2 linked regions of the Caenorhabditis elegans genome follow. The protein of the gene in region 2 interacts with the protein of the main gene of each other region in a pairwise test. Each region holds a gene or a part of one and is shown on either strand. Other genes may lie near its edges. The genes, in order: arrd-7 and spig-10.

Region 1 (11,152 bases), on a different chromosome or scaffold from region 2:
AAGGATATATGTGTTTGATGCGGAAGCTTCCCGAGGAGAATCTTGCCGGGGCGTTGAAGAAGCTTTTTAGCGGGAATTTTGAGTAAGGAAATGCGAATTTGAAATTTGAAAAAAAATTGAATTTTCAAAATAGCAACGTAGCATTAATAACTTATTAATAACATTAATAATAGTGATGTTATTAATTACTAATCATATTAATAACTTTATCAATATTAATAACAGACACGTATATAAATTGATTTTTAAAAACTCAGAAAAAACAACTTTTTATACTTTCCAAAAGGAAAGTATAATTGATCACAAAATCTTCATATTTCGAATATCTTCGTAGACGTCAGAAAATGTATTGAAGTACATAAGCACATGTATTGAAATTCTTTTCAATAACACTAATTCCGCATGAAATTCGGAAATGAATGAGCAAATCAAAACGTTTCAGCTTAAAAATTAAAGATTTGAGTTAAAAGTATAACTAATACAATGATCATGTTATAATTAACGATACTACGAAAATTTTTTTCATTTTCGATTACAAATGTATTGTGAAAAATACACTAAGCCGAGCTTAGCAAACTTTTGATTTAGGAATTTTATTAGTTTTTTCAAGAAAATTTCCATTTTTTTATTTTTCTACACTCGAAAATAAAATAATGAGACACTTTGATTAAAAACCATTCATTGGATGACAGTAATGGTTGCCTGATAGGAACTAACAACAGACTCTTATTTAATTAACTCATTTATTACGAGTGATTCAAGGGGAAAGCCTTGAATCACTAACACTCAACATTCATTTAAACGTGCCACCGTCGGGCACGTGCTGCGGCGGTGAAGACGGTGAAGACTGACGAATAGGCCAATGTGCGCTGCGCCATGATGACAAGAGTACGGTCGCAGTCGTTGTTGTATGTGTCGTGGCGAGACCTCATGCGCCTTGAATCCTCCTTTTGGCGGTAGTTTGAATTGGGGTTTTGACGCCGTCCTTTCGCCTGGTTGTTGCCGTTGATTGAAGAGATGATGTTGAGTGTTGAAGAGCAAGTGTTACGTAATAGCAATGAGTCAATCTTTACATTTAATCATTTGTTAATAAATCCCTAGATTTATTAATAAGTCGTGAGCGAGTGAATCTTTGTATTCACCGACTTCGCGACAGTACCTGTAACCCCAAAATTATTTCAGATGGCTCAATCGTCAACGCATCCGTATCACAGTTACCGGAGACGACGGAATCAGTGATGCTATCGAATTGCACGATCAGCAACTGAACAGAGATCCGGCAACGACCCGCTGGACAGACAATCCACGTAGTCCTGCACGTGAAATTGAGGAATGCATGTCACTATCGCCACCTGTGTGAGTTGGTGGAGTATATTAAAATTATTGCGAAAATTGAAAAAGTATTCTTTAATTTTTTTTATTTCGAAAAAAAACGGAAAAAAGTTTGTTTTTTTGTTTAAAAAAATAGAAAAAAATATTTTAAAACGTACAGTTTGAAAAAATAAATAAAAATTAGGAAAACACCTTTTTTAATTTAAAAATTTTTTAATTGAAAAAAAATTAGGAAAACCAACTTTTTTGGCATTTTAACAATTGTTTTAAATTTAAAAAATTTAGAAATTACATTATTTTCATATTTTTTCTTTATTTTTTATTTCAAAAAATAAAGGAAACTGTTTTTTTAAATTCAAAATTAAAAAATTAAATTTGTTCAAGTTTTGAAATTTTTTTTGAATATAAAAATTAGGAAATTACCTTGTTTTAATTAATTCAAAATTTTTAATTTAAAATAGGAAAAACCTTTTATTTTTATTTTTAAAAGTTTGAAAATCAAAAAAAAAATTAAAAAATTAGAAAACCTTTTTTTTTAGTTTATGGAAATTTTTTATTCAAAAATTAGTGAAAACCTAATTTTTTTAATTAAAAAATTCAATTAATAAAAAAAATCGGAAAAACCTTTTTTCAATTTTTTTAAATAAAAAACTATTTTCGAATTTTCAGAAAAATGTACAGATTACCTATTTGCAAAGAAAAATCAAATTTACAAAAAAAGCTAAATAAATTTTTTTCAAAAACATCTGATACATTTTCAAATTAAAAAAATTAAAAGTATTAGTTTAAAAATTAATTCCGATAGAACCTTTAAAATGTCTGAAAATAATAAAAAAATGCTTCGGAAAACGCGAAAATGTTTTTTAAAAATTCATTTGCGCGGAAATTAAAATATAATATAGTTTGAAAAAAGAATCTCCGAATTTTCAGCAAAAAACGAATGATCTCAGAAGCCGTCGAAATTCCAGAAGTGGAAAAAGAGACAGTAGAACTACCGGTTCTTGCACTCAACGAAGTATTCATTGGTGAAAGTCTATCATCACGTGTGTCATATTATGAAATTGGAATTAACGATGCTCAAATGCTCAAACAAAAGAGTTCGGGAATCACGATTTGTACAGGAACGGGCTCCACGTCGTGGAATTTCAATATCAATAAGCTCACCGAGCAATGCGTTCAGGATTTGATGAAAATTGTTGCGGAGCACTGTAATCTGCCACAGATCCCGCATGGGGATAAGAATGCTGTTAGCGAGATTTGCACGAAATTTAATCAACAATTGATTTTTGATCCTGATCGCAAACGTAAGGGATTATACTTTTTTTAAATTTCAACTCAAAAATTTCAATTTTTAGTTTTTTTCAATCAAAAATTTCTGGATATTTTTTCCTCGGAAAATCATAAAAATTCTGGATTTTTCTTGCTCTTGGATTGAAAAAAACTTCAGTTTTTTTTTTCAAAAAAAAAAAAAAAGTTTCCAGAATTTCTTAAATTTTTTCTTGTTTTTTAAAAAAGATTTACAATAAAAATTCAAGATTTTTTGTAAATTATCCGAGTTTTCAATTTTTTTTAAACGAAACTATTTGAAGTTTTAGAAATTTTTCATATAATTTTCTAAAAAACTTTTTTTTTTGGAAAAATTATTTAATTGGAAATTAATTTTTTTGTTGAATTTTTTAAAAAATTCTCAAAACCTAGATTTAAAATTCAGATTTCTTTCCAAAATTAAAAATTCCAAAATTTGAAAGTTTTAGTTATTCTAAATAATTTCCACAATTTTTTGGATAAACATGGACAATTTGGTATTTTTTCCAAAAAAAAAAGCCTAAAAATAAAGAAATATAAACAAAACTAAATTATTTTTCAAGGAAAATCGAAAAAAAATCCTGAAAATTTCCAAAAAAAATGTTTTTGGAATTAAAAAAAAAATTCTCTCAAAACCTAGCATTAAGAATCTGGAAAAAATGTAGATTTTTCGAAATTTTCTCGACTTCTTTAATTGTATTTTTTCGAAAAAAAAATCCCTAATTTTTAAGGCGAAAAATTAGGTGGATTTTCCAAAAAAAAAAGAAGGAAAATTCCGAAAAACAGATTTCCTTGCTTAAAATTTAAATTTTTTTCAAAATCAATTTTTCTCTAATTTTTCAGAACTCGCATTCTCAGTCCGTGATCCGATCTTCAACGCGACGTTCCCACCAACCGATCCACGGGGATTCGCCGATAAAATTTGCATCAAGAGCCGCGGTTACGATGCTCATTTGGTCATTGACGGAGGCATCTCGTATCGATTTAACGATGGATCCGAGGCGGTGATGGAGGTTCGGGATGAGGATACGTTGCGTACGGTTGTATTCCGATAAATTACCTTTTTTTTGTTCGAATTTAAATTATAAATTTTGTATAGTATTATGTGCTTGGATAATGATGACGACCTCAATAAATTTAATTGATTTTTTGTTGGTTTTTTCATGTTTAAAAAAATTTTAGGCGCGAAATTCAAATTTATGTTGGCAAAAATTGATTTAACGTTTTTCCCCAAATTTCGTACTTAAAGGCACATGGTATTTTTCAGAGTGGGTCTCGCCACGATCAAACAATTTACAGCTAAAACCAGCCGCGACGCGACACGCAACGCGCCGTAAATCTACCCCAGATATTGCCAAGCCAAAATGGCCTAGTTCGGCAAACTCTTCCATTTCAAAAGATGAGGGAAGCCAGAACCGCGTGATCACCGTTAAAAATTCGCGAGGTTAAAAAAACCTGAAATTATTTTTTTCTGTATATTTTCGGAAATTTTTCGGAAATTGTCCACAAAAAAATGGAGCGTTTTTTTATTATCATCTGAAAAGTCGGAACAAAACTGCGGAACATGGCCGAGAAAAACCAGTAAATTCGGCCACCGATTTAAAATAAATTAAAATCCACTTTTTGCTGGCAGTGGAGGTGCGTATTCTGGTGGAAGTTGAGAATTTTGCTGTTGTGGCAAGTTGTTGTAGACTGGGTAGCGAGGAGCGAAGGCCTGCAAGTTTTCCGTGAGCATTTTGCTGAGAATTTCAAGCTTGAAGCTTACCTCTGCATCCTCAACTTTCCCAGCTCCGTGTACAGACTCTTCATAGCTTGGAGGAGCTTCTCCTCCGGGAGACGCTGGCGGGGCCGATGGAGCAGTCGGGTAGACTGCTTGAGACGCAGATGCTCCGGCGACTACAGGATATGGAGGAGCGGAGACCGATGGCATAGTTGGCATTGCTCCAGGAGCTGGAAGATAGAGGATATACCATTAAAATTCAAAAAAAAATTGCCTGCTTGATTCATCTGTCGAATTGGGATTGTTCCAATGATCAATGGGAATTCACATTTCAAGCCACCTCCGAAAATCTGTTGAGTTGAAACTTTAACGGTTAGACAATAATCCACGGCGATAATCGGACAATTAAAAGACGGAACAATCGCTGGAATCTTCATCGAAAGAACCATTTGCCCACGGGATTTCGCTGGAACATCAGCTACTCTTCTCGATTCGGCAACCAACTTTTCGTCGTTACGATTATGAGTATGGGCTGTGACGCCGATCATGTTGCCGTGACTTGCGTGGAAATGCGAGAGCTGTGTCATTTTTGCGCTAACTTCTGAGACGGCAACCTTTGAGCCGTTATCGATGTTTACGGTGATTGGCATGATTTCTCCGGCGACGTAGCCGCGTTTTGGGAGGTTTACCTGAAGATTCATACTATAATGGTATTCAACTGTTATATCATTTAAAGTTCAGACGTAGATTATAGGATGAAGAATAAGTATTATATTCTTTCAAGGAAAACTTGTTGGAAGTGTTTTTTTTGGGTTTTATCAAATATGAAAATTAAGTAGCAAATCATTAATGATACATCATGAATAAAGCGTCAGTGATTACTATTTGAACTTTGCATTCCATCTGTTAGTGTTCAAATAACCCCTTTTTTACATTTTGAACAATTTAGTATGTTTCAATATTATTTCTTCACCATTATTGATGTATTTAGAGCTACACTCTTTTATTAATGTCAGTATATACAGTGCGTGCAAGTTCTATATGCCACCCTCTAAATTTTTGGTTATGACAATTTCTGTGTAATTTGGTGAGCAAAAAGTATTGAAATCGGATTCACAATAATGAAAAACTTGTACTCCAAAAGTTTTGTGATGATAAGATTTTGTCAATGGTGCTTTATTGCAAATTGATAAAGAGAAGCGTACAAAGGTTGTTTTTATTTTATTTTATGATGTTTTTGAGTTAGTAGCTAATTTATAGTAGTAGACAAAAAACTGTGAAAAAAATTATTAACATTTCTACCACATTACCTATCTTCAATTTAATTCGATAATCCCTTACCGTAATTGTAACTAATCCCTTTTTGAGTATCAGTCCAGTATTCTTCGATGCAGTATTCACCATCGGGTTTATTGCAGTTGGAGTTATGTTCAAATCGAACACCGGAATCACTGAAACGACATTTTTCGATTCAACCCAAAGTTATTAAACGAATATACCCGAAAAGCATTTCCTCGACTTTTTATTAAACTTCCATGGTCTGTCTAATTCCACGTGGACATCGTATCGAATATGTCCGTGACAGCCTTCAAAACTTGGCGCACAATTGATGGGGAGGTTAAAAGCAAATGGGAAGACATTGGTGCCAGCTGGAAGACGGTCCTGAAACAAGAGTTTGTTGAAAGCGTGAAGACAGCTTAACCAATAACTCACAGTTCCATCTCTCGACTGCCATGCAATCGATTCTCCGGTCAAATAGTTGATAGTCGCGTTATAGTTCACATTCTCCGTGAATCGTTCCCTTTCTCCACGTGTGTTTCTGAAAGGCATTTTGTTTTTTGATGTTCAAAGGGTTTATTTTACAGGTAAGCAGTCTAGTAAAAAAAAGACAAGCTATCGTATTTTTCCGATTAGTGACTATTTATTGAATTATGGTCTTTAGGTAAACGACTATTAAGGGAAGCAAGTAAAAAGTGCTGAAATCAGAAATTCAAAAAATAAAACTCACGTCCTATATGTGCTGCGACTTTCACTCCAATGCGTATGTGCACCTCCGTGAATGCAAATTTTCAGAAACCTCGCTTTGATCCATTCACGATTCTGTATGATTACTTTTCCGGTGACAGCCTGTCCTGGGAAGTATACATCGTTCGGAGCGTCGTACTCAATTCGCAAGTCGTCCATTTCTGGTAATATTCTAATTATTATTAGCTGACATAATTAATAGTATGAGAATTTTTTAAAAATGCGTAGAATTTCAAAATTATAATTTTGACTGAAATTTTCAAGCTGAACATTTTGAAGTTTTTAGAGGGCTAAAAATTTTTTTTGAATTTTCGCCTAGCAAGATCAAACTGAATAAATTGGCTTGGAAACCTGGCATAAAAATGCTTATCGCAATATTTTTGGTCTGTAAATTTTTGATTAAATTTTCTAGGTGGAAAATATTTATAGCGCATTTTGTATAGAATAATATTTTCTGGTTTGACTGAATTATTCTTTGCTATAAAATTTTGGCTGAAAATGTTTTTGGAAGAACTTTACTAGTAAGTTTAGACTGAAAATTCGTAGCGAAAACATTTAATTATTTTTGGCTAAAAACTCCTGAACAAAAGTTTATAATACCAATTTTTCTGGAATTTTTCAAAGCTTATGTTTTCGACGTAATAATCTAACTTTAAACATTAAAAATTACAAAAAAATCAACAGAAAATCATATCGATTCTGAAATATAAAATCACAATCAAAAAGTTGTTTCCAGCACACTGAAATAATTATGAAACTGCTCTCAAGAATACATTAAATTCAATGATAGCACTTATCAGTAGAGCCAGCTTATTTGGTGACTAACAAAAAACGGTGAAAATTCCGTCACTAGGTTTGCGAAATTTTCCAAAATGTGCATGCATTTTGGACACCTAGATAGTATTTGTTTTGAGAGACCTAGGAGGGGGGAAGAACAAATATTGTATGTTGGGATGGTATTTAATGTGTTAGAGACCAAAATCATAAAAACAAGTAGTAAAATGGGATGGAATAGATCAAAATGTAGGAATTTAATTTTTCAATTTATTTTAAGAAATTTATCAACGGATTCGGGGAATTTTGTTCTAAAATTTAAAAAATTGACCGTTAAATTGTTAAAATTTATTATTATTAATATGATTTATTATTATAATTAAGATTGTTAAAATAATTATAGAATTTTTCTAAACTTTTGCAAAGTTTGTCAAAAAATTACACATAGTTGATTCTCTTTTGATTTTTCGTTTTTTTTTTCTCTAAAATTATTTTTTTTTAATTGGAAAAAAACGACAAAAAATCCAATACGTAACATGGCAATCGGCGAAAAATTTTCAATTTTCCTGTAAAAATATTTAGAATGCAATACATTTTCTTCTTTGAAAAATGAAAAAAAAATCATAAAAAATCCAGAACTAAATAAAAATTTAAAACTCATATTTTGAAGAATATCTTGAAGTTAGAGTTGAAATTGAGTAACAAAAATAACTAAAAATTTGAAAAAAAATTTGAGGAAGGAGGCTTTTAATTTTTTCCTAAAATTCCTATTTGAATTTCTCCTAAATCTCCAGCTAGAAGTTATATGCCGTACTTTTTTGCTCTAAAATATAAAATAAATGAAAACGGTTTTGTAGGAACTGTTTCAAATAATTAGAGGAATTTATTAAGCTTACAAAAAAACATTTTGGCCAACTATGAACTATGTTTTGTCGCGTTTAAACGCGACAAATCATTTTTCTCAAAGAGAAAAAAATTTGCTATATTTCAAGTCAGGAAACTTTTTTTCTACTCACAATTAAACATAGCGAACCTAATATAATTTCCAAACTTTTTTTTATGGTGGTGGAATTGAAAAAAAACATTTTTCGGGTTTTTTGAAATGAATTTCGTAGCTACAAAGACGGTCATACATTCATTTGAAAGTACGGAAAATTTGCTATTTTTATAGTCAGGACACTTTTTTTTTGCACGAACATAACCAAAGCAATTTAAACAAAAAAACTATTGACTGTAAATTTTTTGGTTAGTTTTTTAAAATATATTTTGCCTTCTGAATTTGGAGCGAATTCAAAATAAAAATGGAATATCAAAATTTTAGCCAAAATTAGATTTTTCAGGGTATCTTAAATCAAAACCCCGTTAACAATACACTATCTTTAATAACTTTAATAATATATAATCGATAAATTCCAATTCATAGCGAATTTTTAAAAAAAGCACACCGATTTATATTTAATAACCATGTTAACATTAAAAACTTGTGAAGAACCACGTCATCGCATAAAGTATAAATACACAAATAACCCATAAATAGTATATTGTTCTGATTCATGCTCAAAGTTTGCACTGAAAAGAAAAAAAAGACCAATGAAGTACGTTGTCTATGACGTTTTTGCACGTTTTCAGACTTTATCAATTTTCCGGCAAGAAAACATGACGTAAACATGGTGCATGTTTTATAAATAAAAGTTATTAGTTGATAAGAGAATGGAATGAACTGAGTTGTTTCTTTTTTAAGATTTTTTTTCTAGTTTTTATTCGGAACTTATTTATATCAACTAATTGTAAAGAAAAATATTGGATGTAAAGCTGTAATATAGTATAATTTCATGTCAGACTTACAAAAAATGGGAGACACCACATTTCTCATTGAATTCGACCATCCTGCCGCTGTATACTCCCCTGGACAGAATGTAGCAGGGAAGCTAACAATCAGAAATCGAAATGCTTTAAATGCACTGGCTCTGAAAATTTGCATCCATGGAGATATTGAAACGTTGTGGAGGAAATTTGAGAATAAAGGGAGATAGTGAGTTTTGGGGACTATTTAAAATTTCAAAAAATAGTCAAGAAAAACGAGTTTCAGTAAAAAAATTTCTCAGAAAATTCAAGTTTTCGGCCAGAGTTGTTTTTCCAGAAAAATCTGAATTTCTCAATTTGGGGTTAGGCATTTGAAGTGAGCCAATATGTAAGGTTCTGAAATGAAAGTGACGTAGAGGAAGATTACTTACTAATTTATAAGTTCTGATGACATGAAAATACAACTAAAATCGCCAATAGAAGCTTCGTTAAAAAATATATGAAATTATTATTGCCGCTCGTTTTATGGTACATACAAAATTTAAATACTTCCGCCAGATATTCATCTCTCTCCTTTCCAAAACAGTAATCAGATTATCCACTATTTAAAGGTACATTCAAAATTTGCCGAGCTTGGCTAATTGGGCAAATTGGGCAATCTTGCCGTGCTGGGCAAACTCCGAAAAATGAGAACATTTTGATATTTCTAGAAGCGCCAAAACTACTGAATTTTTAGCACAACTTTGAACTCAACTTCATGTTATTTTACTATAATTTTTTGAACAAAATCAACAGTTTTGGCCAAATTTGAAAAAAAAGCCTATTTGTGATGTGTGCGGCAAATTTCAAAATTTGCCGAGCGCGGCGAATTCGGCTGAACCAGTTTTTTGAAATTTGCCGCGCTCCCCTGATTTTAACCACCATATTTCTTTTCAGTGACCGACATGGTCGATGGTATCGTAGCTCTGAACATATCAACTATACTAGCAAGATAAACGTCTTGGAAGGAATCGCCCAGCCATGGAGTTCCATTGAAAACGCGGTTAGTAAATTTGAATACACTTTAATATTTACACACCACATTTAGAACAATAAAATCCCTGGCGGTGTGAACATATTTCCGTTTCTCTTCCAACTTCCTGCAAATCTACCACCGAGTTTTGAAGGGACGCATGGAAATGTTCGATATTCGGTACACGTGGAATTAGATAGGCCATGGAGGATGAATGTTGAAGCGAAGAGGGTGTTTTCTGGTGAGTTGGAAACGATTTTGATACGACCTGAAAAAGAAAAGAAATCATGATTTAATGTGAATATTTTTTGTGTCAAAATATAATATCTCGCAAATCCGCAAATTGTCTTTTTTTGCCGGAAATTTTAAATTTCGGCCAATTGCCGATCTGCCGTTTGCCGGATAACAATTTGCCGGAGAAGACGGAAACTTGAAACTGTGCCTTTTTGAAATTTTCCCCCGTTTTTTAACGATATTCTCATAGAATTCACTGACTTTTAAAAATAGATGTAAGGCTATTCATCGGATGTGTACAATTTTTTCGTTTAAAACTGAAATTCTGAAAGTTCCAGAAAAACTCACAACTATCGGCAAATACAGATTTTCCGGCAAATTGGGCAAATTGTCAATTTGCTATATTTGCCGGAAATTTTCAATTTCGGTAATTGCCAATTCGCTAATTTTGCCGGAAAAATCGTTTGCCGCTGAGCCCTGATTTTAACCCCGTCTGGGCTAAACTGAAGCTTGAAATCATTAGCAATTTATCTATAAAAGCAAATCACATTTAAAATTTAATTTCGAATATTTCAGTGATTCCGGTTATCGATTTAAACTCCATTCCAAAAACAATCAATCCAATGATCGTATCTTCTTGCAAGCATTCTGGATTATTTTCTAACAAAGAGGTTAAAGTTAAGGTAACATAATTTTTTTTATTTCATGCTAATAACAAATAATGACTCAATTAACAAATTAATATTTACAGATCTCCATCCCAAAATCCGGATACATCCCAGGAGAGACCATCCAAGTATCTGCTCTAATTCAAAATCACACGAAGAAGCCTATATATTCTATAAAAGCAAAATTGGAGCAGCACGTGCATTATCAGGCTCAACAAGAGAATTCTCATCTATTTCCAGAAGAACATTGTCATAAACATTGTGAGCATAAAACTGCTC
Region 2 (9,239 bases):
TAAAATGTTCACATATGAAACATCCATGAATATTCGAGATGTTTACCGCTGTGTTTGTGGTTTATTAAGTTTTTTTTTTCAATTTTTGCACTTTGACCTTGGTTCTGGAAATCGTTCACGCGAAGAAACGTTGTGAATATTCAATGAAGTTAGTTTTCCGCCATGCGGTGAAATTTGAAGGTTAGAATGATGTTTCATTTTTTCATGACCCGCTCATAAATCAATGGACTTTCTGATCTGGTATATTGCTCACTGTCTCTGTTTAAAAAACAATGTCTAGTGTTATACCGTGAGAGAAGCCACAAAATAAGCTTCTTCAAAAAAAACAACGATGAGCACAATGTCAATATTTACGTTTTGTTGCAAAACAAAATGAAGATAACGGCAGACAGAATGGTCCTACACAGCCACTAAGTCCATGGATGAGTGATGAATGAACTTTTGGCAAAGGATTAGTGCTTGCTCACAAAGTTTACTACTTTTTTCAAAGAAAGATATGCAACAGAATGTGGAATCGTCATTTTTTTCTGAACAATACTCGAAGTTTAATATTCAAATCGTGCATTTTGCAATAATTCTACTGAATTAAACATTTGCCGTTGTAGCGTAGATCATCGCAAATCAGTTGTTTTTCAATTACGTCTGAAAAGTAGAAACTTCCTTTTCTACGAACCTGGTGATCAGGAATGCCCTGGTTTTCTGCTCAACACCTTCAGGTACATGTAAACTGATGCTTCATTTGTTTTCCGTGTAAAGTTTTTGTAGGTGTTAGGTTTCATTCCATGTGATCTTTTGAAACCATTTGGTAAACCCCCAAACAAATGTGTTTTAGTCTTTTCAATTGTATGCTAACATTTTTTTCGAAATGCTTTTAGGCTGGTAGCTCCATTCAATATTTTCCTAATCCTCTGTAAAAAAGAAAGAGAAGAATAGTTTTTTGTAATTGAAAATGTAAGTTTGCCACCTAGTTCTGCAAAATTTTTGATGATTTCTAACTTTTCTTTAGCATTTTTCAAACACAAAATAATCACTTCCTAAAAATGGAAAAATGCTGGAGCTTCAAATAATTATCTATTGACCTTTTTTTCAAGTTTATTTTTTTAGGCTTTGTTTTTCTTTATTTGTTTCAAAATTTTTTTTTTGTTTTTTAGTAATTTTTAGATTTTTAAAGTAACAGTATTAATTAATTTTCAACTATTTTCAACTATTATGTACAAAAACAAGATTTTTGATGAACAGGCTTTTTGATACTCCCAGCATATAATTAATTAAATTCAAAAAACAAATCACGCTATCATTTCCAACTCATCAGATATGAAAAAATGTTTTCTCAATACCGCAGTCTATTAAAAAAAAACGCCTGCCTACCTCACTAGGAAACCAACTACGCGTACCATGGGACCTGAAAATGTGAGCTTAACATCTAACTTAACTTTTTTCCGAAAACTTAAAAGAAACTTGCGGATTTTGGTACTATTAATTGGTGACTATTTTTAAATAATATGTATTATTATTTAGCATGAATTTTCAAATAGCAATAGTATGATTTAACCCAAAATCTAGAATTTCAATGTTATTTTCAGCTGATTAAATTTCGATTTTTTTTAAATCGATTTTTATATTGGGAATCGTGATGCATTTTCATAAAATTGTTAAATTTCAGAAATTTAGTCATGGATAATAATAATTTATAGGTATCGCACACGAACCAATCCCCCGTGTTCAGTTTTTTTGATTATCAGTTGTTCTGATTTCTCTCCGTTCCATTTGTTTGCTCACATTCGAAAAAGCATTCACTCACGCCAAAACGTCAATTTGGGAGGGTTGAAAATGAGGAAAAACAGATATCTCGAATGTGGCTGTTTTCTTTTTTTTTCTTTTGAAAATGTTTCCGCTCCTCTTTTTCTCGTGACCTTTTGATCCATGTTTCTCAAAGGAGAAATTTCGAATTAGCCATCTCTATCTCATAGATGATTTTCGAAACAAGGGGACAACCAAATGTGCGGCTATGTATAACATTGCTGAAGCTGCTCATTTAAAATTCCGCGTGGCAAGTACTAGAAAAGCACTCAACTTCATCTTCTTATTTTTGTTTCTTTTTAAATTTTCTAGCACCCGTCCTGTTTCCGTTTCCAACCCACACGTGACACCACTTTTTGGTCTTCACATATTGTTTGAGATCTTCCCCCGGAAACCAGTCGCATCTAGTAGCAATTGGACTCTGTGCAAACCCGAGAGTTCAGTATTTCTTACTCGTTTCCTTTCTATTGTCCTCTCTTTTACCTTCAAGAAGGTTTTCATTCCACAGCACTCCCACACATGGATATCTATTCTTCTTTCTACATCTCTACGTGAGCATCGCCAATTCCCAAAGTCCCAAAAGTGTACAAATTGGACGTTGATTAGTGGAAATCATACGACTAACGGCTCATGAAAATTCTCTATTTAGTGTCTCACTTTTCAACTATACAAGTTGATTTTTAATTTCTAAAAAATATTGTTTCCGATATATTATTTTTATTTTTGTTCTCTTTCTATGTACAAGTATCAGCATGTTAAACTAGACTCACAAATTGCTCAAAAGAACTAGGTGCAAAATGAAAGCATATATGCTGGAATAATTTTGTTATTCTCAATTACCTAGTCTACTTTACCTTGAAAAAGATATTTTCGGCCAAGTTCCGTTTCTTTTTCCATAAATAAAAGTTTGAAAACCTGGTATCTAATTAAGAATTTGATGGTAGTCTATCAATTTTGTCCTTCAATTTCCATTTTCTTCTATCAAATTTTCCACTCAAGAATTAATGTTTCAGAATGTCGGACTGCGAGCAGATGACAGATATGACCACATCTTTGTGGCTCCGGCTATCCCTTTTTGTGAATCTCGGCATCACGATAATCTCGTTTCCAGTTCTGTTAACTGCTTTACACTATATAAATTCTCAGCAACTGTTTCATCGGAATACAAGGATTCAGATTAAAGTTCACATATTTGCATTGTTGGTTCATTCCACAGGAAGGTGAGTTGTTTTTTGAATTCGTTTGGGAAATAATTGAGATGTTAAATTCTGTCCTGAAAAATTGTTTCTAATTAATGAATTTTAAAATTAATGAAATACTGTAATATTACTTTTTTTTCATATTTCAGTTTAAAAATCTAGGGGACAGTTTTACGCGTTACGCTAATGGTGCGAACAAAAATGTTCGGCGTTCGAAAATGATTTTTTTTTAATGTGGTAATAATCTAGGATATCCTTTTTCAGTTTTATCGTTTCAAATTATCTTTGTGCAAAAAAAGCCAGCACGTGAGACACCAATAATGGTTGCCACATTTTGAACCTCCCAAAATTATTTTTGTCACTCTTCCATTTTTCATAATGATACGCTAGAATGGCAAAAAGAAGTTAGTAGCAATTTGGAGTTAGTCAGTTAAATTATTGTTTTCTAGTATTTGGGCACGTGTTCGAATTTATTAAAAAACGACAGTTTGTTATTTAGGGACTACAAATATTTATATTTCTATATGGATAAACAGTTTAATTTGGTTTTTTTTTTCAGATTTGCTCTTCATTCCCTGGACCTCATAAACTATTTTTCAAATACTGGTTGTGATGCTCTACCCGATTTCTATCGATGTCTTGTTGTTCGAGGACTTTATAACTTTGGAATGGCGCTTGCAGCAATGTGCTCAACAAGTCTTGTCATCGAACGAGCAATAGCACTTCACTATAACTCGACTTATGAAATGTGTGGAAGAGGATTCGGTGTTCTTCTAGGATTTCTTCAACTTTTCCTCGCATTTGCATTCTTGTTTAAACTCTACTTTGATGCCTCATTTACACCAGTCCCAAATGTTACTCTTTATTATTGTCAGACTCTAGCTTCCGGTCACGGATCCGTCTGGACAATTAATGCTCCACTATATGCAGTTATGATTGCTCAGTGTGTATGTAGATTGGCGTTTTGGTACATCGGAGTGCAAACTAAAGTAAGTATCTTTGACATTGAAGAATCAAATAAAATCAGTTTTCAGAGGAAGAGAAACACCCAGAAACTACAAACACTGAGCACTCGGTATACTTTGGAGCAAGGAATTCGATCTATAAAAGCACTGAATATGTTCATTAACGCCAATTGTTTCGTATTTTTCTTTTTCTCGTTTATTGGAACTTCATTACATTTTAATTCGAGTAAAATGAGCAGACCAACGTACTTTGCTCTCGTGGAAGTGATTCATTTTATTCCAACTTATGGAATTCTACTTTCAATTTACATTTATTTTTCTTTGAAAAAGGTAAATCAATTCTAGTTAGAAAGTAATGTTAATCTTAAATTTTTCAGCTTGACTCAAAGCAAAAGACATCACTCACAAAAAGCATGCAGATGGATCCGAGTCGTTATCTGATCGAATTCAAAAAACAAATTGGTTAAGCCACGTACATATTTTATTTTATTTTATTTTTGTTCTGTGAACATTTTCATTACCAATGTATTGTGATAAATGAAGACTAAAAGGTCTTCCTAATTTTTTTTGGAGAACATTTTTTTTCTTACTTTTTCTGTAGTTGTTGCAACAGGAGTATTCAAAGCAATTTGTTTAATTAACCTAAAATTAATTAGATGATAAATGTTGCCAGAAACCCGGAAGTGCAACTTGGAAAATATTATTCAAAATCTGGAACTTGACAATTGTAATAAATTGAAATCACGATGCACTAAACAAATTTGTTACTTAATCTAAAGTAAAAGTTATTTTGATACACAAGGTCCTGAGAGATTTTAAATCACGTTTCCAACATCAAACTTTTCACACACTACGAGTTCGAAGAGTTCGATCTTTGAAATGATCACTACCAATAAAAAATAATTCAACTTAAAAACTAGTTCGGATCAAATCAAACACATACCATCATCAAATATAACCCTCATATCGTCAGATTATCCTTTTCATTCTCCTTCATTCTACCATTTCTACCATTTCTACCATTTCTGTTTAACCGGACAATGTGCCGATTTCTCGTCGCCCTCCTTTTTACGGCAATTTCTGTCTATGCAGGAGCTCCAACAGGTTTGTTGCATTCAGTTTTAGATCTAAAAATAAAATAATTCAGCCGAGGAAGCAAAAGCTGAAGTAGTTGCCGCCGGTGTCTCTGAGGCCGCCGCTGATGGAATTTTAAAGATTGCGGAGACCTACAAGGGCCAATTCGAGGCAGCAAAAGGTGATCGGGAAGCTGGAAAGAATGTTTTTCACACATTCCACGCAGAGGTTGATAAGTACATGGAAACACAATCGGAAGACGACCAGATTGCTTACAAGGCATTTGTTGATAAGAAGAAGGCCGAGCTTCAAAAACGTAACAGTACACCAAAGGCTTAGATAATCATGGAAGATCTATATTTGGTTAATAATCTGCTGAGAAAGTATTTGTCATTTATATGTCTTCTAAAATTAATTATTTGGATAAAGTACTACATATTCAGATTTATATGAAGATAGAGAACCAGGGAGTTTTGTATAATGGTAAAAAATGGCTTGAGTCGAATATTTAGAATTTAAATCTCGAAGCCTTTGCCCAAGGTTTTAAGACTTCTCCCATCACAAATTCAAGCAAAAAGCCCTTCTTACAAAAATAGTTTTTTTTAATATTAAGTGAAAGTTTATGAAACATCTCCACCTCGGGAATGCGGACAGGCGTTTCAAGCTTATTTTTATTTTAGTTTATGATTTAATTTTGTTCAAGCCTTGCATACACCAAATAATGAAACGCAAAAGCGAGAGAAATTTTAATTTTTTAAAGCGCAAATCAATATAGCAGTGGACATTTGTAAGCGCATTCGGAAGCAGCACTTCCGAAGTGGTTCAGAAAAAGGGTTTTAGGACTTTTCGCTTGCTATATCAGTTTGTTTCTTCACGATTTTTAAATAAGTGAATAAATTTTCAAAAAACAAATAACTTCGCATAAAGATGAATATAATTATTTATTCGGATGTCACAAGATTATTCAGAATTAAAAAATGTAACGGAAACAAACGTTCAATACGCTCCCAGTGGTGTTACAGGCTGAAGATTTTGATTTAGTTTCTTGATCTCCTACTTTTGTTCATATTTTTCTATCAAGTTTGTGTCTTGTGCAGTTCATTTGAAAAACACGAAATTTTTTCTGATCGAGATCTCAAAATTGATATCGATGGCGAACAATTTCGGTTCATGCCTTCGGCCCGGTCATCCTATAAAAGAGTCTGATAGAACCAAAATATAATAAGAAAGTTTAAACATGAGAACACTTCCTATTCTTCTTCTTGTCATAGTCGGCGTTGTCTACTGTTATCCATTGAACGAGGACAATGTCGATTTGGAATCGGATGTTGCCGAGATGGAGGGAGCTGAGTTGGACAGAGTGAAGAGAGCAAGTGATCATAAACTTGAGAAGAAGTTGGATGAAATCGTGAGTTACTACCATATTTGATGGTAACTAATGAAAATTCAAAATTTCAGATGGAAAAGGTCGAGAAGATCAAGGACAAGATTGAAGAGAATAAGGAAAAACGTGTAAGTAATTAAAGCGTATTAAAGTTGACTTGGTTTGCTTAAAAATATTTTATAAAAAATTGTATAACACATGAAATTTATGTTTTATATTAATAGTATGTTTTAAACTCATCTTTATTTATTTTTAATTTCAGGAGAAGAAGAATAAGAAGAAGGGAAACAAGAAGGACGAGGACGAGGAGGAGGAAGAGGATAAGGATAAGAAGAAGAAGGACAAGAAGAAGAATAAGGATAGTGAAGAGGAAGAGGACAAGAAAAAGGATAAAAAGAAGAAGAATGATAGCAGCGATGAATCCGAAGAGGAAAACAAGAAGAGAAAGAACAAGAGAAAAAACTGAACAGCTTTACTTTTCATGTGAATAGTAGTTTCTTGTATTATCATTTCGACATCAATAATAAACCTTTGAAATTCTACAAACTTAAATTTATGTAGTAATTTCACGGAATTCGATATTTTAATTTGAATCAATAGATTTGATTTGTAGATGTGCACATTTTTGAGAGGCAAACAATTAAAATTAAATCATTATTTTTCTTTAAAAAAACAGTTAGCAAAGTCAGATTCAATTACTTCTGAAAATGGAGGAAAGGCCAGACTTTGGATCGAACATTAAAAAAAAAACAAAGTACTTTTGGAGTTTTCATTTTTTCATCGCTCTTTAATTTATGTTTTGATAAATTATCCGTTGCGGAACTGAAAAGTTGCCAAAATTTGCGTAGTGAAAATAGGTATTTTTCCACAACTTTGAACCACCATGACTTTTTAGATCAAGAAATGTTCAGAGCGTCTCACTACGAAATTCGGTAATTCTGGCCTGCTTTAGGTCTCAAAACGCAACGTCTAAGATTGCTGTATTCCACCTTAGAAAGTTTTAAAAAATTGAAAAATATGGTGAAACACAACTGCTCAGAACAATATTTAACTGAAAAAAACCTGTTTTGTAAAGTTAAGGTAAAAAAAAACGATCTAAAATTATCCCTTTTATACAATACAGAGCCCGATCTATTTTCTGTCTTGTGCTGCTTATAAAAAAATTCACGACAGTTGCTTCTTGTCATTATATTTTTCAAAACTATCTTCTAGTTGACGCTCAAGAAATCATGGACCTTGAAACCTTGTGTTCTCGGTCAGCTCTAGACTCTCTGTCCAATCCACACTCTTTAAATTTTTTTTTTTGAAAAAGCATTCGTAAAGTATCGGTGGAGTTCAAAAGGTTGAACTATTCGATTCTTGGTTCAAAGTTGTTTTATCGATGTGATTGACAGCTCGAGACCACATAAATAGCACCAGAGAATAACCAAAAATTCAGTTGATCCAAGATTTTTGAATCCGAAAATTTTTCAGAAAAATCATTTTTAGTTTCCGTTTTAATTCAATATTATGTTTCTCTCCGATATTTTTTCGCTAATGAAAATAAATAAATAACAGATTTTTATTAGTATTGCACCTCAAACATTGTTGAAAATTTAAACCTGCATTATCTATTGGTGTTGCACTCAGGTTCAGTTGCGAGAGCCACTTCTATAACACAGTTTTTAAATCTCATTTTTGATGATTGTTTTCAAATTATCGAAAAAAATAATTTTCACATTGTATTTTTGATACAACAATCGATAATTAACTGTTTACATACACATAACCTATTTTGTAAAATTAAAAAAAAAAACTTACAATTAGAACATTAGTCATGTGGTCATTTCAATTTTTAAAAAATACTGTAGATAGCGATGAACAAAAATATCAACATTACCAATTTGACAAAAAAAGTCATTAATGCTGTTTCATTGTAAACTTGAATGGAAATTTCCTTTCGATTTTTGACTCATAATAATTCAGATTCAAAAGAAATGCATGAATGATTCATTTTCGATTCATTTCATTTCAAGTGGGTTTGAAATTTTGTCGAACTTCATATCAAAAATCTGTTTTGTAAAGTTCTTCATCTCCTGTCTTGTGTCTTCTGTCCCGACTTTGTCAAATGAAAAGAAAACTTTTTTCAACATCAAAATCTCTAGTTCGATATCATCTTTATCAATTCGTGATCTTTCTCCACTATAAAAGTAACTATCCATTTTTTGGGAGGTATTCTTCTAACATGCGGACATTACCTATACTTATCCTTGCCATTATTGGCGTTGCCTACTGTTATCCGGTTGATCAGGATTCTTTAAATGCAGAAGTTGAAACTAAAACTGATCTTGTCAAGATGGGAAGTGATTCCGATTCTGATTCCGATTCACAGAGAGTGAAGAGAAGTGGACAGGGATTGGAAAAAGCTGTTGAAAAAATTGTAAGTTTTTTCGGTGTTTTTGTGAGTTATTATAAGTTTTTCGTTTTAGATTGAGAAAGTAGAAGATATCAAAAACAAGATCCAGGAACACAGAGAAAATCGGGTAAGTTCAGATGATCTCTAAATATCTCTAGATATTGTTTTGTTTGAGAATAAAAAACAGAGAATATAGAAAACTTTCTGAAAACAAATCTTTACAGATGAGGCACGGTGAAAGGGGAAGGGTATGAATTTAAAAACTAAACTTATAGCATTCATAAAGCCATAACAAACGCTAATAACCTGCTATAACACTTTCCTTACTCATCAATATGGTTTTTTTCTTCAGGGAAGACACGGACACCATGGAAGACATGGAATGGGAAGACATGGAGGACATGGAAGACGAAACAAAAGTG

The links.
Region 1: the proteins of spig-10 (region 2) and arrd-7 interact in a two-hybrid assay, tested with the Caenorhabditis elegans proteins (one large-scale study listed by BioGRID).

Annotation. Positions count from the first base shown.
Region 1 is NC_003280.10:12,056,079-12,067,230, forward strand, and holds arrd-7 (Arrestin C-terminal-like domain-containing protein), read right to left. Parts: upstream 6,544-11,152; 5' UTR 6,542-6,543; coding exon 6,366-6,541; intron 6,177-6,365; coding exon 6,071-6,176; intron 6,020-6,070; coding exon 5,857-6,019; intron 5,809-5,856; coding exon 5,699-5,808; intron 5,047-5,698; coding exon 4,632-5,046; intron 4,588-4,631; coding exon 4,403-4,587; intron 4,352-4,402; coding exon 4,247-4,351; 3' UTR 4,154-4,246; downstream 1-4,153. Other genes in the region: nadk-2 (NAD kinase 2, mitochondrial), read left to right, coding at 1-82, 1,183-1,356, 2,263-2,636, 3,481-3,692; arrd-8 (Arrestin C-terminal-like domain-containing protein), read left to right, coding at 9,007-9,188, 9,896-10,001, 10,047-10,212, 10,782-10,888, 10,957-11,152.
Region 2 is NC_003283.11:7,001,337-7,010,575, forward strand, and holds spig-10 (Inhibitor_I29 domain-containing protein), read left to right. Parts: upstream 1-4,927; 5' UTR 4,928-5,004; coding exon 5,005-5,068; intron 5,069-5,111; coding exon 5,112-5,377; 3' UTR 5,378-5,482; downstream 5,483-9,239. Other genes in the region: srab-4 (Serpentine Receptor, class AB (Class A-like)), read left to right, coding at 2,815-3,020, 3,559-3,988, 4,034-4,294, 4,342-4,431; drd-10 (dietary restriction down regulated), read left to right, coding at 6,276-6,446, 6,497-6,550, 6,685-6,888; C33G8.2 (Cylicin-2), read left to right, coding at 8,647-8,841, 8,891-8,944, 9,170-9,239.